Linked DNA regions of Styela clava. The protein of the gene in region 1 interacts with the protein of each later gene in a pairwise test. Links are inferred from orthologs where the notes say so. Each region holds a gene or a part of one and is shown in the gene's direction. Other genes may lie near its edges.

Region 1 (7,912 bases):
ACCCCCTTCTTGTACTTTGAAAGATCCCTTTCAGTAGTCATTGAAATTGACCTCCATATTCATATTGTGTTTCAATTGTTTTTCATAAACCAAAGTTAATCCTATCTTCGTAAATCCAATATTTTAATTTTTTATTTTTTTCACTTATATTCCTTTTCATTTACCATAATAATTATCCAAATACGCTCATTGGGTATAACTACCACAATTTGTTCACCATATTAGTAATTCTCCAGACCCCTAGTAATTAATATGCATGGATCAATGATCATATGAGCGTGATAACTAACTTAAATCAATAGCCCCTTGTAATTGTGCTTTTTACAATTATTTAAGTGTATATTACTCTATAATTAGCCGTTACACTCATAGTCATCCATTACCTGGGAATCTTATGCATAACAGTGAATTTGGGGGGAGCTGACTTGGATGACCGTATGGTCGTATCGCTCCCTCCAGTCTTTACCATAAACAGTGTTTATTTATTTGTATTTATGCTTTCATATTTATATTTGTTGTGGTTGACGAATCAATAAATCTCTCTCGCTCAGACACTTTCGTCACCCTGACAGATTTTCAGTCGTGGTTGTAAAAAATACTTCGTTTTTGCGATTCTGAATGCTATTCGTTAGTTTTTGGTTGTGTTTGGGAAATTTAAGTATCAATCAAATAAGTCAATCATCATTTGCCTCTTTAGGAGTTGTAGTTTTAATAGTAGTAATGAAAAATTAGTCTAAGAAATAGCTGTGACAAAATAGGCTAAAATTTTCTACCGGGAGGCAACGTTTTCTGCGAAAGATGCACTCGCCGAAACTGTTTACGTCTTCGTGCTAAAATGAACGTCGAATGTGCATTTTGCGCTAACAGTACTGTAATCCCTCGCGTATTGCTCCAATTTCACAAGGCACACTAATTTTTGTACTGCTTAAATGCGGATATTCATGTAGGTAAGTTACAAAAAAAAAATAAAGTTCATCCGATTTGAATGAAAACTGCGCCAGTGGATAGATCTGAGTGAAAATAAGAAAACAATATCCAGTTTATAAAAAGCTTTTTTAATAAGAACTGTAATAAATATGAAAAAAACACATATCAATCACTAACCTTTCAATCTGCGCCACATCTATGGAATATTGAGACTATTTCATGATTTTATTCTGGCAACGGTCTTGACACCGCCGAAAGTTCGTCGCAAATAAACGCTGGAGTTGTGCATGATGTTTGACGGTGGTTCATTATGGGTAAAATTTAACGATGTTCTGGTTGTACAAACTCCATAAAAATTGGTAAGTATCATGTATCAAGTCAGGAAAGAAATACACACGTCCACATAATTTTTATTGGTGTCCATAGACAATATCATTAATTTGCACCACGTATAACTTGAGCGTAATTTTAAAAGCTCCGAATGTTGGGAAATTTATGCTCTAATGAATAAAAATCAAATACCAGATAATAGTTGTTTATTTTATCTAAATTATGTCGAAATTTCATGGAATTCCATGCTACAGCAGGCAGTCCGTAGTCGTGCAACGTTTTGATAACAGCTAAACTCAGGGTTGTCGTCTATATATAGAAATCTTGTATATTTGTTTTCCTAGGATGTTCTCGATCTATATTCTGCGATATATATAGAATTTAATATTCAAGTCTTCAGAAATGTAGAATATATATTGTTGAATAGATTTCCCAATTTTTGTGAATTTATTGTATTGCATTGACAAAAATATTTGTCCGGCCCGTTTCAACACAGTTTGAGTCATACCCGACCCGCGGTCAAAAAAGTTTGGTGCCCCCTGATCTAGTACATAGGTTCTTAAAGTGCTCCGTACGAAGCCCCAGGGCTCCGCGAGAAAAACCCAAAGGCTCCGCGAGAAAAACCCAAAGGCTCCGCGAGCTATTCGATTACTCCTCAAAATACTGACTCAAAATTTTGTAACTGTTCAAAGAAGCAATAACAGCTTTGATAAAATCTGACAACGATATAGCTTCGAAATATGGTAAAGAGGCGGAATTAAAAAATGACATTATTTATAAGCAGGAGCGCAGCCAGGATTCTTAAGAGGGAGGTGGTTCAAAATTGGAATCGGAAATTTCCGCGCAACATTCTTCGCGATTAAAAAAACGGATAACAAGATTTCTGTTGCGTAAAATATTCAATTCATGACCGATTCGAGCATTTAACGTGTCTCGTCGTTATATAATGTAATTGTGCTCATCATTACTCACGTTTGATTCGAGATTACCATTAGGATTGCTAAAAGGAAAAAATACTATTCTAAAATAACATAAAATATGTGATAAACTGCCAACTATATATAAATTGGAGTCGTATTTTTGCGATCTTGGGATTTGTCAAACTTGATTTGTTCTTTTGCACTTGAGATTATTTTTAAGCAAGATATCGCCGTTTAAAAAATCACAATGTCTGGGCAAAATACGAACAATTGAAATTTATTTTATTGCATTCGGCTCCGTCGGTAGTTTCAGAATGGGAAAAAAGGTACATCGAGCGCACAATTGACTGTGTTTCGATTCCGCAGGTACTACGATGAAAACCTAACATAACACCAAATTTTGAGATTTACAATGTCTATAAAAGCGTTTTCAATCTGAGGTGAGTCTGCTGAAACCAAACGTGTGATCTTCCATTTAAAGTTTCAGTTTTATTATTTTAGAATGCCGTTTTTCTATCAAGAAATTTGAGTTGCGGATTTATCTCTTTATTATTTTTAGCATTCCGTCGCCGATGACTACAATATGGTAACATGTTTTCACATTGAACTCCCCACGAGAACAAAAAAGCAATTAACGTCGTCATTGTGTAACAATACATGTATATGCCGAGGAAAATTTTTGATTTAGGGAGAATAAACACCGGCGTAAAGACGTTTGAAACTGACGAAAAAATCGGCGATTGTAACAAAATGAAATTGCGCACATTATTAGCGGCCTTTTAAGTCTTCCAAAAATGTCAAAAGGGAAAAGATTCGACCCCTAATTTATTAATATGTTTGTCAAGTGTCAAATTTACAGCTTTAGTATAAAATTTAAATTTATTTATGACTAGTGAAGTAAAGTACTTTTACCTTGCTCAGGAATATTAATCTAAAAGTAACAATTTTAACATTTATTTTGGGGCTCCGCGAATAATATTCAACCTTTCAAGTGCTCCGCAACACCAAGAGTTTGAGAACTCCTGATCTAGTAAACTCCACTTTTTTCTATGTACCGTATGTGAAATTGTGAAGTTTGCCAGATGTCCACGCGCGCCTTCTGTGTTTGTTTTTCCAGCATGTGCAACGCAGTGATATAGCGCATAGCGTACCGTAGCAGATGCTGTAGATTCGTAGATTTGCTGGTTGTGTGAGTGGGCTGCATGCACCGGTATGGTTTGGTCATAAATGAACAAGTTCAAAGTTAGTGCCATAACACCGGTATTCTGATCAGTGCCCAAATACAGAAATACCGGTACTGCGACGATTCCCAAATGCAGAAATGCGTGAGTACAGGTACCCATAGTTTGAATGGAGCACGTTTAACAACAAACTACGGACTGAACTGCGAAAGCCATATGGTTATCTTTTGTCGAGACCCATTCATTTATTTTTATCTTTTGCTGCCATGCAGCCATGAGTGGTAACTGACTCAGATGACCGTAAATGGTCGTATCCGTATTTTGTTATTATTATGTGTTTTCTGGTTGATTCTTTCTCTCTATATCAGGGTCGTCCAACCCGTGGCCTGCGGGCCACATGTGGCCCGTCGAGGAGTTTTGAGTGGCCCGCGCTGTATTTTCGAAATAAAAAAAAATTGAGTAAAACTTCTATTTTTCGAGTGATGTAGTTAATATGAAGATTTGATACAAACAATTTGTTTATTTTCCTGAAATGCGCTCTGCTAGCCCATCCCCAACTGGAAGAAATCGATACATAAATAGTAGCTTACACACTTGGGCAGAATGGCAGTTTTAATGACCTCATATTTGGCAGCACGTACTCGTACAAGCAAGTTTTTTCACAGATAAACCATGTCAAATTCCCTCTGAGATCACTAATTTCTGACAGTCATATGGAAAATTGGCTTCGCATTGCTACATCGTCCTTTTCAGTGAAAAACAGTGCCAAACTTCACACTAAAATGTCTACGTGTAGAAAAAACTTTGTTGACTTTACTGTATCTTCGTTTTCTTCATTGTTCTTATTATTGAGAAAGTTTGGTGCGAGGGTTTTGTTTGTTTTTTTATAAATTTTTGGTCAGTGTAGCAAAACTAGAATATAATTACTATGTTAAGTGGCCCGCGCAATTATTAGTAAACTAAATATGGCCCGTGGGCCAAAAAGGTTGGCCGACTCTGCTCTATATATAGTCTATATACCCCTGTACCCTAACCTATGTAGTGTTACCTACGTAACATGTGGATTTTGTTGTTATATTAGTATGCTGAATCACGGACTGTTATTATGTAATCCTACCATTAACACCAAATTTAATGAGTGATTTTTCCATGGCATGTAGATATTAAATGTTTTAAGCCTAAAATGTCAGAATCTTCATCAGAGGATGAATCTTCACATCCATATGTGGATTTGATTTCTTTGGTTAAAACGAATAATCACCAAGAAGAAATAGAAACTGATTCTGAAGATGACAATGTTATCCCTAAAAGGCAGAAGTTAGAAGAAGGAATCCTTGAAAAGAAATCATCAAGCCAGCCACAGGATGACAGTTCTAATGAATCTGAGGACAACGAAGATGTAACTGATGTTCTTATGGAAAACAGTGATTCTGAAAATGAAGATGACAATAACGACTCTGCTGAAATATTGATATTTGGTGAGTCTGATGATGAAGACAATTTTGATAAATCTAAGAATCTCAGTTGTGATTATTACAAACAACATCTTGAGACAAATATTGATTATTTTGTACAACATATAGAAAAGAACAAACCTCAAAGGAGAGATACTTTGGAATGGCCCATGCTAGGGAAGATTCAGTTTATGAATCGATCTGAAGATCCAGCAACAAATGAATTTCTTCCCAAAGTTCCAATCAAGAAAAACACAAACATTGAAACTTATAGACAAACATATCATATCAGAAAAATTGTAATTGATAATTGGATGCAATTTGATAAAAGAAATAAAACAAAGTCGAAAAAAGATAAACACAATGATTTGTTTAACTTGCAGCAAAAAGAGCTATTCACGCTATTGAGTTCATATGTTGATGTGTCTTATACAGATACAAATCTTCTTAATACGTCATCATCTATTCAAGGTGTATATTGTTTTCATGCTGTAAATCATGTCATTAGATCTCGTGCCAAAGTATTACTCAACACATCCAGATTAAGGAAAATGACTCCGGAACAACGTGAACAATCTGAATATCGAGACCAAGGTATCACAAGACCAAAAGTTTTAATCTTAGTTCCTTTCAAGGAAACTGCATTGAGAGTGATTAATATCATGTTGGAATTATTCAAGCAAGGCGATAAATTTGAAGTCAGTTATAAGAAAAGATTTCGCGATGAATTTAGCCAGAGTGAAGATGATATCGATGGAGGTTTTTCAAAAAAGCCGGAAGATTATCAATGCTTATTTGCTGGAAATACAGATGAACATTTTCGAATTGGAATAGCACTGTTACGAAACTCAGTTCGCCTTTACTCACCATTCTATTCCTCTGATATTATTGTGGCATCACCACTTGGACTCAGAACAGTAATTGGTTCTGAAGGAGAAAAACACCATGAACATGATTTCTTGTCATCTATTGAACTTGTTATTATGGACCAAACTGATGTGTTCTTAATGCAGAATTGGGAACATGTTTTACATATATTTGAGCATTTGAATATTACACCAAAAGATTCACATGGTGTAGACTTTTCAAGAGTTAGAAATTTTTCGTTGGATGGTAGAAACAAATTTTACAGACAAACTGTAGTAATATCGAATGTACACTTGCCACAGATATCATCTATCTTTACTAAATGGTGTTGCAACTATAAGGGCTTTGTTAAAACAGAGAATATTCCAGAAAAGGGTAATATATGTGCTATTGCTAAGCAACTTCCACAAGTATTCCACAAGCTTTCCGCACCAAGTTTGGTCGAGTCTTCAGAAGCACGCTTTCGTTTCTTTGTTGATAAATTATATAAGCAGTACAAGGACCCAAGCATGTCACATACCCTGATTTATGTACCACAATATTTTGATTTTGTCCGTCTTCGTAATTTTATGAGAAAACAAAAAAAAGAGGGGTCTGGACCCATATTTGGTCATATAAATGACTACAGCACACCATCCGCTGCTAACAAGACCAAACGTCGGTTTTATACGGGAAAATGCCCATTAATGCTTTATACTGAAAGATTTCATTTTTATAACAGGGCAAGAATTCGGGGAATGCGGCATCTTATTTTTTATGAATTGCCAACTTATCCTTTGTTCTATGTAGAATTGTGTAACATGGTGAGAGATTCACACCAAGGAGATGGAGTTACTTCATCTAGTTCAGTAAATGTTATGTATACAAAATTCGATACCCAAAAACTTGCTTCCACAGTTGGAATGTCCCGTTGTCGTCAATTGCAAACTTCAACAAGAACTGTTCATATGTTTGTTGCTGGGACAAATGACGATTAATATATAATTAATTATGTTGGCAATTTGTTGATTTTCCAATAATGGGCTATATTCAATGTGTTTTTTGACTCTCTTTCTCCCAAAGTTATGAAATTTTGTGTTATTTGGTGCCTTCCACACCTTCAATGAAGCCTCTTACTCATGTCCCTAGTTGGAACACGGTTTCATCCAAGCTATCCAACATCACCCGCTACTTAATTCTCAAGTCACATTGAGCATATACATTTTATTCCTGTCTGGGGAGTATATCAATGTGTTGGCTGGTGTAATAATTAAATAAAACCTTATGACCGTTGATTTTTGTGAATAAAGGCTAAAGCCACTTGTCTTAAGCAAATATTCATCAACTTAATAGGCCATATCATCTATGAGAATATATGTCATAAAATGTGTATAGAAGTGTCAATACTTAAAGTTAAACTTGGATGGACCTAATTCATTCATGGGATTCAGTAATTTCATATTTTCTGTTTTATTTAGATTTCATATATTTAATGTAAATATAAAAATGTCATCTCACAAAAGGCCTGAACTTCAGGCTCCTCCCGAGATATTTTACAATGAAAATGAGGCACAAAAATATACTACAAACTCAAGAATGATGGAGATCCAGGCAAAGATGACAGAACGTGCTCTGGAGTTACTCAATTTGCCAGAGGATAGTTCATGTTTTATTTTAGATGTTGGATGTGGTTCTGGATTAAGTGGGGAAACTATAACAGAAATGGGACATTGTTGGATTGGTTTTGATATCAGTACAGCAATGCTCAATGTTGCTGTCGAACGTGAAGTGGAAGGTGATATAATAAATGCCGATGCTGGTGAAGGCTTGTTTTTTAAACCTGGAACATTTGATGGTGTAATCAGTATATCAGCGATTCAGTGGTTATGTTATTCAAATGTAAAATCCCATAATCCTCCCAAAAGGCTTTATAATTTTTTCTCCACTTTATATTCTGCTATGAGACAAGGTAGCAGAGCAGTGTTTCAATTATACCCAGAAAACCCCAGTCAACTGGAACTTATTACAACACAAGCAACGAGAGCTGGGTTTAGTGGTGGTGTTATCATTGACTATCCTAACAGCACAAAAGCGAAGAAAATATTTTTGTGCTTATTTTGTGGAGTTCCCACTCCTGAAATGCCATCAGCATTGGGTACTGGGGATGCTTCTAATACGCAAATACACTATAACCAACAAAGAATTTCGTACAAGCAAATGAAAGGTAAAAGCGTGAAAAAGTCCAAGGACTGGA
Region 2 (8,398 bases), on another chromosome or scaffold:
GTTGGTGTCCTAATATTCTACTATAATATGTACAGATGCATAATCAAACATATCCGTGACTGGCCTATTACATAGTGCAGCTTCCCAAAGGAAATGGTTTATATTTTTGTGTGTGCTAATTATCCCAGGAAAAGAGAAAAAAGCAAATTGGGAATCTATTCAAAAAAAAAAATGATTGAATGTTTCCAGTTAGATTCTATATGCAGTAACAGACTGGCATATTTTCCTTTCATAAATCAAAACTGAATATCAAAATAACAACAAAACGTGACTAAAAATCAATCAGGACATGATTTTGTGAATTTATAAAGCCATTATAATCCGTCAAGTCAATTTCAGCTGTTGTTCTCTTTCCATATTCAAACTATTTGCAACATATTATTTTGATTCAATCGTTTTATGATGAAATGCATAAAATTATTAATTCCTTTTTTGGTGATGAATCATGAAATATTACATAATCGTGCGCGGCATAGCTAGTCATCAGTATACCAGAGGAATGTGTCATGAAGTGACTTGAAGAATCAATTATTTGGCCCAGAAATACTGGAATACGAATTTATACATTGGCAAAATACTTATACTGCATAATTAGAAGCATTTAATAGAAACATGATCAACCATTGGCTAGATATTATTAAAGTTAATGAAACATCCATAGTATATACAAAATTTGAAATTTAGAGTGCAATGCATACATTCAGGATAGAAATTAATAACACACATATGTAAAAAGTTCTTGAAATTAGACACGTTAAAATTAAAACATAATTAAAATAACCTAGATACATTATTCTATAAAATGTTAATTAAGAAATATAGTCAGCAAAATGGTCAGTTATATTTCATCAAAAATCAAAGAAATATGAAGTAGAAAAGTATCATTTCTTCAATTCTTATAGTATTTTAAACAAAGAATTCGAAGCTACCCTTGTGTAAATGGTAACAAATTTAATAATTAGGTTCTGATATAAAGTCAACAAATATCTTTATGAAGACATTAGACAATATATGATACAACAATTAAAAAAACCTACATACATTATTCTATAAAATGCTAATTAGGAGATATCGTCATCAAAATGGCCAGTTATATTTCATCAAAAAACAAACAAATATGAAGTAGAAAAGTATCGCCCCTTCAATTCTTTCAGTATTTTAAACAAGGAATTCAAAACTTTCATCGTCTACCCTTGTGAAAATGGTACCAAATTTAACTAGGCTCTGATATAAAGTCGACAAATATCTCTATGAAGACATACAATATATGATGTTTTCGATTAACAGCATGGGCTGCCATATTGTTCATATTCTTTACTCTTCATGCATGCATTTTATGCTTACAAGCTTTTGAAAACAGTTTGTGAATACCTGATCAATACATTGTAACAGCTATGGCTGAATCACAACATTCCAAAGTCCTCTCATTGTGTTGATGCAGACAGAGTAAATAAAGCATTATTCACTTTCCTAAAATTGGGATGAGTAGGTCCAGGTTTACCATCAATAGATATTGTTTTGGTTTTCCCACCAAGTTTACATTGAATTTGGGATCCTACATGGACTGGTAACTGCTTTCTCAAATGTCCATTTACAAGCTTGACCAAAACTCCTACCGCTTCTGGAGCACGATCGTCATATTCAGGATTTGTCTTCTGAATACAAAGAACCAAATCATCTGAGCCATCAACATGGATGATTAAAAGTTGATCAGTCCCATTAGACACACTAACTCCTGTGACTTTATCCACCGGGATTCGATTCATTGGTTTGTATGATTTACCTGGATCCAATTTGAAGATGAATTTCTCTGTTACAAGCAGGGCTCTGTCTTCACATTTATTTTTTCTGTTAACCTTACGAACATGAGAAGAAAACTTGATTTCTCCAAAGTGAAACTTTGAGTTGAGTTGATTTGTCTTTGCCGAAAACACAGCAGCTAACGATTGATTTTCAGTTTGGGATGCCAGATAGTTACCTTCCCATTTCCTTTTTCGTAGCCAGTTGGTACGTTTTCCATGTAAAGCTTCATAAGCTGCACAACGAAGTTCAACTGCTGGCCATTCAGATCGCGGAATCCTTTTGACAATTTTGCCGGCTCTCCATTTTTTGTGGATTAGTTTCATGTGGTCAACAAGCTCTTCTAAGCCAGCAGGTGGATGAGTCCAGACAATCCCCTTCCCAAGATCTGGCTTTTTGAGAACACCTTGAAACTTCTGAGACATTTCCAGCAAATAGCATCGCATTTTGTATAATTTGTATCTTCTCATGATTCTGTATGTAGCAACAGTACGCTTATACCTTAGACGAGCGATTCCACCTCTCCACATTTTCTGTAGGAGAATGACAAGCTGTGGAATTAACATCGCTCTTCTTTCTTCCAAGTTGACGAGGGTCTGAGGGGTTCGAATGAAAACTTTTGTTTTTCCATACGCAATATCATCATCAATTTCAATGTCAGTTATTAGAGCTTGTACTGCTTCATTGTCAGTTTCACATTGATGATTCGGCCACGTGAAAGAAGACAGCATTTTATATCTTTGTAGAAACCTTCTGTATGGCTGTCTGTTTGCATAACCAGCTCTTCGAACACGAACATTTTCCATCAATCCAAGATATAATACTTGATGCTTGCATCTATCATAATTGAACTGCACTGGCGATTTCACTTCATTCGGTTTGACACAACGAACGTAATAAGGTTCTTTCGAATTCAGCTTCTGTACAAGAGCAATCATCGAATTTTTGAATAGGGTACCAGCTGTTTGAGGCCTTTTTGTTACTTCTTTGATGCTTTGTGCACCTTCAGGCCACATTTCTTTTATGGTGGGATTCTTGCTATTGTACAGCAATCTTTTGAAATCTTGGAAGAGCTGATCTTTATTTTTGTCCAAGAAATTTTCAACACTGTACTTTACATCTCCTGCGTAATGAAGAATCTGAAAATCTTGATCATGAGTCAGATTTTTATTTTTTGCATCTTTTCGTCTGCTCGTGAAGTGAGCATGATCTTTTAACTTGTTGTCCATTGCTTCTAGAAACATTGAATCAGTGACTTTTCCTACATTGAGGCAAGCTTCGTCACAGATGGCAATAATACCTTTATGGGGTTGCTCAACCAAGTCGCAAATAATTTGATTGTTGAAATATTCAACATTTTGCCATGTTATACCTTCACTGTAATATTCTTCTTGTTCCTGTTTCAACACGAGCTCAATGAAAAGTTGTTGCAATTTTTCATTACAATAATTAATGCAAAACTGTTCAAAACTATTGTTGTCAAAGATCTCAAAGCCGTATATGTCAAGAACCCCAATCAGTGTACTTTTACCATATCTTACAATATCTTGTTTTACTTCAAGGATTGAATTGATGCGGCCCACAATAAATGAAAACATTCGTTCATACATTGCTTTTGCAAAAGCGTCTCTACCATGATTAGCATCTGTCATGTCATGAAGCTTAGCAATGACTTCTCCTCTTGCTGCAACAACACGACTCTGTAAGCTGTCTTCCAATTCTTTTTCACTTACACTTAGCAAATTGGCGATTGCTTTAATTGAATTGCGGTCTTTGACAATCACATTTTCACCAGACATTCCAAATTCAATGTTTCCTAAGAATAAAACTGCAGCAACAATTTTGAAAAGTGTTTTTTGTTCATCATCTTTGAAACCAACAGCTTTCAATGCTGCAGCAACCTCTTTGTGTGTTTTCTTGTCATCAACGTTTCTCACACTATTCGATTGACCTTGGTTAGTGTAAGTATATTTCGATGGGTCTCTTGTTAAATGCAGTTCTTTAATCAGTTGCTCACTTGCACCTGCTAGAAGTTGATAGAAAGAATGGAAATTCCTTTCTCCAATTTGTTGATGAACAACTCTTGATTTTTCCAAAAGATAATTATTGATGTGTCCACCAATAGGATCACCTTTAAAATCAAAGTTGATATCCATATATTTTCCAAAACGTGAAGAATTATCATTTCTATTTGTCTTGGCATTACCAAACGATTCCAAAACAACATTGGATTTTAGCAGGACCCCAGTAACTCGTTCAATTTCATGACGAGCTGATGCATTTGTGATAGAAGTAATGTAATTCATTATAATTTTAGATGCCTCTGTCTTGCCAGCTCCAGATTCACCAGAAATCACAATGCATGTATCTTTTAGATATCTCTTCATAGTGCGATAAGCAGCATCTGCGAGAGCATAAATATGAGGAGGCCGTTCCCAAAATTCCTTGTCTTTGTATTCTCTCACTGTTTCTGGGGAGTAAATATTCATAGATTTGTATGGATTCACTGACACAACCACTTCTCCAATATAAGTATAAATACGACATTTTTCAAATCGTAGTTGGAGATTTTTCATGAACTCTTCGATGGTTAAATCGTCCAGGAGAACAAAGTCTCCTTTCCCGAATTCTGGTCCCTCAAAACTCATGGTGCTGAGAGATTCCAAAAAGCAGGAGATATTGATACAGGTTCCCAAATAAAAATGAAATATAAATATGTAGTCTTAAATATTAATCTAAGAAATATATATTTGTCAATTACATTACTATGTCATTGCTAGCGAACCTAAAACTAATTAAGGACGAGTTACAGGATTTTTCTTCCTTTTTTAAATGCACTTTTTTCAGTACATACACTAGCGCACTATGCTGCTGTGCCAAAACCTACATCGTCCAACAAATGACTTTATTTCGAATTTCCCTTACAACAAAACATAGAAGCAATACGGGGCAAAACAAACAAATATACAGAAAATCAGGAAGGTAGGCAAAATCTACAAACGATTCAAAACATGCTGATGCACGTACCACCCCAAACAGAAAATAACACATTAAAGTAAATTGAAAAAAATGAATGAAAGCTAATTCCTACAGGGGTGGTGACCCCTCTACGGCCCATCAGAAAAAATTCAATTATCTTACCAAAATTTTCAATTTTTACAAAATTGTCAATATTGGAACCAAAAAAAAATTGCAGCATGCCACCAAACCTTTTACTTGCGATAAGCCTTTTCATAAAAATAAAGCAAAATACCAAGCTACAGAAAAGGATACACGGAAGTATGTGTGCCAGGTTAGGGTTAGGACAAAATTTTGTTCAGATTTTTCACATTCAGACATAATAGTTCTATTATGAGTTCAGGGAGTGGGTAGGATTTACATATTTATTAGTCTTTATTATTTTATCCCTTTACACAACTTGATGGGCCGTGGCCCATAGCCTGATGGGCCGAGGCCCATTTCGATGGGCCGTGGCCCCGGCCCATGGTTCGTAGAGGAGTCACCACTTCCACTCGATAATTCGGGCATTAACACTTGGGTATGAGGTTTGAACATGCGCTACTATTTCTACTATATTGTATACAAGAAAATAATGATAAGAGTAGAGCACAAAAACAAACAAGCGGTGTACAATATGTGATACTGGACGATAAACAACAAAAATAAAGGCAGCGGTAAAGTAAACAACAAGAAATGAAATATGATAAGAGCATTCCGTGAAGATAAATGCCCCGACTTTCAAACTTTAGCAGAATCAAAATCAATGTGCTTTGTAAACATGTACTGTGCAAGCAGTCTTTTCATGGAACAAGTTACAAAACAACACACAAAGATCACTCAATGACATTTTCATATTGCTATGGTAGACTACCTACTGACCTATGACTAGTACCAGTATCCTTGATATAACTTACTATGTCATCTCCGAATTCCAAAAAAATATAAACTTCAAATTGGGTCTTTCTGAACTTTCCAAATTACTAACTTACGGTAACATTACAGCATTAAAAATAACAAAATAATAAAGTCTGAAAGTCTAATATAAGACAGCTTAAATTTATATTTCTGACCCTTTTTATGTATTAATTATTTCTAGATTATTTAAACATAAAAATATGGGTGAGCACAACTGATAATAAACCTGGTCTATCCCTGGACTTGTTACCGGTACCGTATCGCAATGACTACGCCCAACTCGGCAAACACGACGTGAATTACTGAGCTGATCTGCGCTTTGTCGCTGTTGCCTAGAGCGGCAATTTTAAACTAATTTAGGCGCATCAAAGGATGACATAATACTAGAACAACAACGCATCGAGTCGAAATTATATAGACTACAATAATCTATTCGCAGGTAATGAATACAACGTTACAAAGCCCAGGCATAGTGTATACTGTTATTTCAATAGGTCACCTCGGGCGCCGCGCATTGCCATCACGCCTACTTCATAATTCATAACATCCGCCGCCTTTAGGTGACGTAATGCGTAACGCGCAGCCGGCACATGACGTATTTGCACATACACTCAGTTACGCAAACTTCCAATATTTGCGATAGATCACGCAAGGCCGTTAAGAACAGCTAGGAAGTAAATGGTGACACCACGCGAGATTCTGCGCTGCATTTCTCGAGCATGATATTCGAGCATATAAATTATAAAATATGTGCATATAAGGCAATAAAATTGAAATAAAAGAATTGAAACATATCTGTCTTATCCCGCGAGATATAAATGAAATTTTCATTTCACATCACATCAGCAAGATTTTATATTGTAAACGGCTAAAGGTACAAAAACGTTCGGACCTAAAATATACATTTATGCTCTATAAAACCACCAAATTAGAGAACATAGATCATATATTATGGCCTCATTTGATAGCGATAAATTTATCACCATTGCCCGACCTATCTACAGATTATTATATCAAATTTTCTCTTTGATATACGAGTAGTTAGATAGGTCTTTATTGCTACATGACATTTAGCAGTAATAATAAACGATTGAAATTGTCAGCTGTTTTCCCATGGCCGGCTCCTTTTCGTCGACGCAATGTGATATCGCCAGGCAACAAACAACGCTATTCACAGGATCAGTTTCGTGAGAGATCAGTGATCAATACAGAGGGATTATTGCTTTCAGCGTGAGCATGTGCGAAACAATCGCTTTGGAGAAACAGATGAAATCGGGTCGTAAAGTTATACAGTGTCATATTTATTACGTTATTATTTATTCAGAGTGTTATTTCCGTTATATAATAGTTCACAAATTAAATGAAGTACGTAAAATACTGCCAGGAATCTGCTTGAAGAAAGCTATTTTGAAGGGCCAATTACCGTTATGACTTTTTCAGCTTTATCAAAATGCTAATTTAATATACGTAATACAAGACCACTATTATCAGAAACTTACTGCCCAAAAGATCACTTCAAACGCCGAATTCCTTTGCAATGCACCCAAAACTATTTATTATTTTTCACTGTTGCACTTATAATTAAATATTGTTTCTGCGTTTGGGAATTCTATTTCCTTTAAAATATTAGAGTAAGCTTACTATTTTTGACGAAATTTTACAGAAACACGGTGATGCCCATAATCGACATACAAATTACGGTAATATGCCAAAGTAAACATATTTTGTTTATAAGGTATTTGGTTTTTAAAGCGATGGGAAATGAATGAAACAGAATATTTAAGAAAGGAATGAATTACAGCAATAGCACTAAAAATATATATAACTTGATCATCGCATCTGCTAGAATAGATATTTGATGTTTAGGTGGACTAAACCTCTGCTGGTCTTTTGATTTTTTAGCAGCTCATAATTTCTAACATCTGGTTTGGTAAAATGCAATTAATTTTGTAATTTGCCTGTCACTTGATTTGATGGTTAAAAATCAGATTGATGGAGGGTATTGAAGATTACAGTGGTCATGCTGATAAAGTTTTGTCAGATTTAAGAGATGCTGTTGTAAATGCTGATGACAAGTTAATCCAGTTGCAAAAGGAACTTGACAGCCTGGAAAGGTATAGTTTTAGATAAAGTAATAGAAATAATAGTCTAATTTTTATAAAGTCGTATTAAGCTATTAAATATTGTGATCAATGGATGTAATTAATATACCAATATTTGTTATTCAGGAAAGCATTAGAGAAAGACCATGACTACGGACATCACAATAGCAAAAGTTCAGACTTGAATGATGACGACATATCAAAATATTTGGAAGGTAATGCTGTCGTAATTCATTGCAAAAGATTTTGTGACAAAATCAATTGTTATAGGAAAATTGTTTAGTTGGTAATCATGGACACACAACTTTCAATATCAAGATTGCACTGTGCTAATTCATTACATCTGTTTTTGCCATGTATTGTATATTTATTATTTTGCTGCACAGTATGTAAATGAAATTTTCTAACACAAAATGTTAAGCAATAATTTTTGTTTTTGATTGTGAACCAATTATTATTTTAAGACTATTCTGAGGAAAATACCATAGATGACAGCATTCTGACATCTCTGCGTTCATCAGCATCACTGAGTTATGCCGCTGCAGCAACGAAACCATTTGAAACATATCAGAGTCAAAGTA

Evidence for each region.
Region 2: the proteins of U3 small nucleolar RNA-associated protein 25 homolog (region 1) and uncharacterized protein LOC120331579 interact in binary tests that used the Homo sapiens proteins (3 or more experiments, as listed by UniProt). The link is inferred for Styela clava from reciprocal best matches to the Homo sapiens genes UTP25 and MIPOL1.

The regions. Positions count from the first base shown.
Region 1 is NC_135253.1:6,533,279-6,541,190, forward strand, and holds U3 small nucleolar RNA-associated protein 25 homolog, read left to right. Parts: upstream 1-4,470; 5' UTR 4,471-4,541; coding exon 4,542-6,656; 3' UTR 6,657-7,098; downstream 7,099-7,912. Other genes in the region: 18S rRNA (guanine-N(7))-methyltransferase-like, read left to right, coding at 7,099-7,912. UniProt on the Homo sapiens protein: Component of the ribosomal small subunit processome for the biogenesis of ribosomes, functions in pre-ribosomal RNA (pre-rRNA) processing. Essential for embryonic development in part through the regulation of p53 pathway.
Region 2 is NC_135255.1:13,078,861-13,087,258, reverse strand, and holds the start of uncharacterized protein LOC120331579, read left to right. Parts: upstream 1-5,073; 5' UTR 5,074-7,707; coding exon 7,708-7,829; intron 7,830-7,943; coding exon 7,944-8,032; intron 8,033-8,281; coding exon 8,282-8,398. Other genes in the region: unconventional myosin-Id-like, read right to left, coding at 1,425-4,448.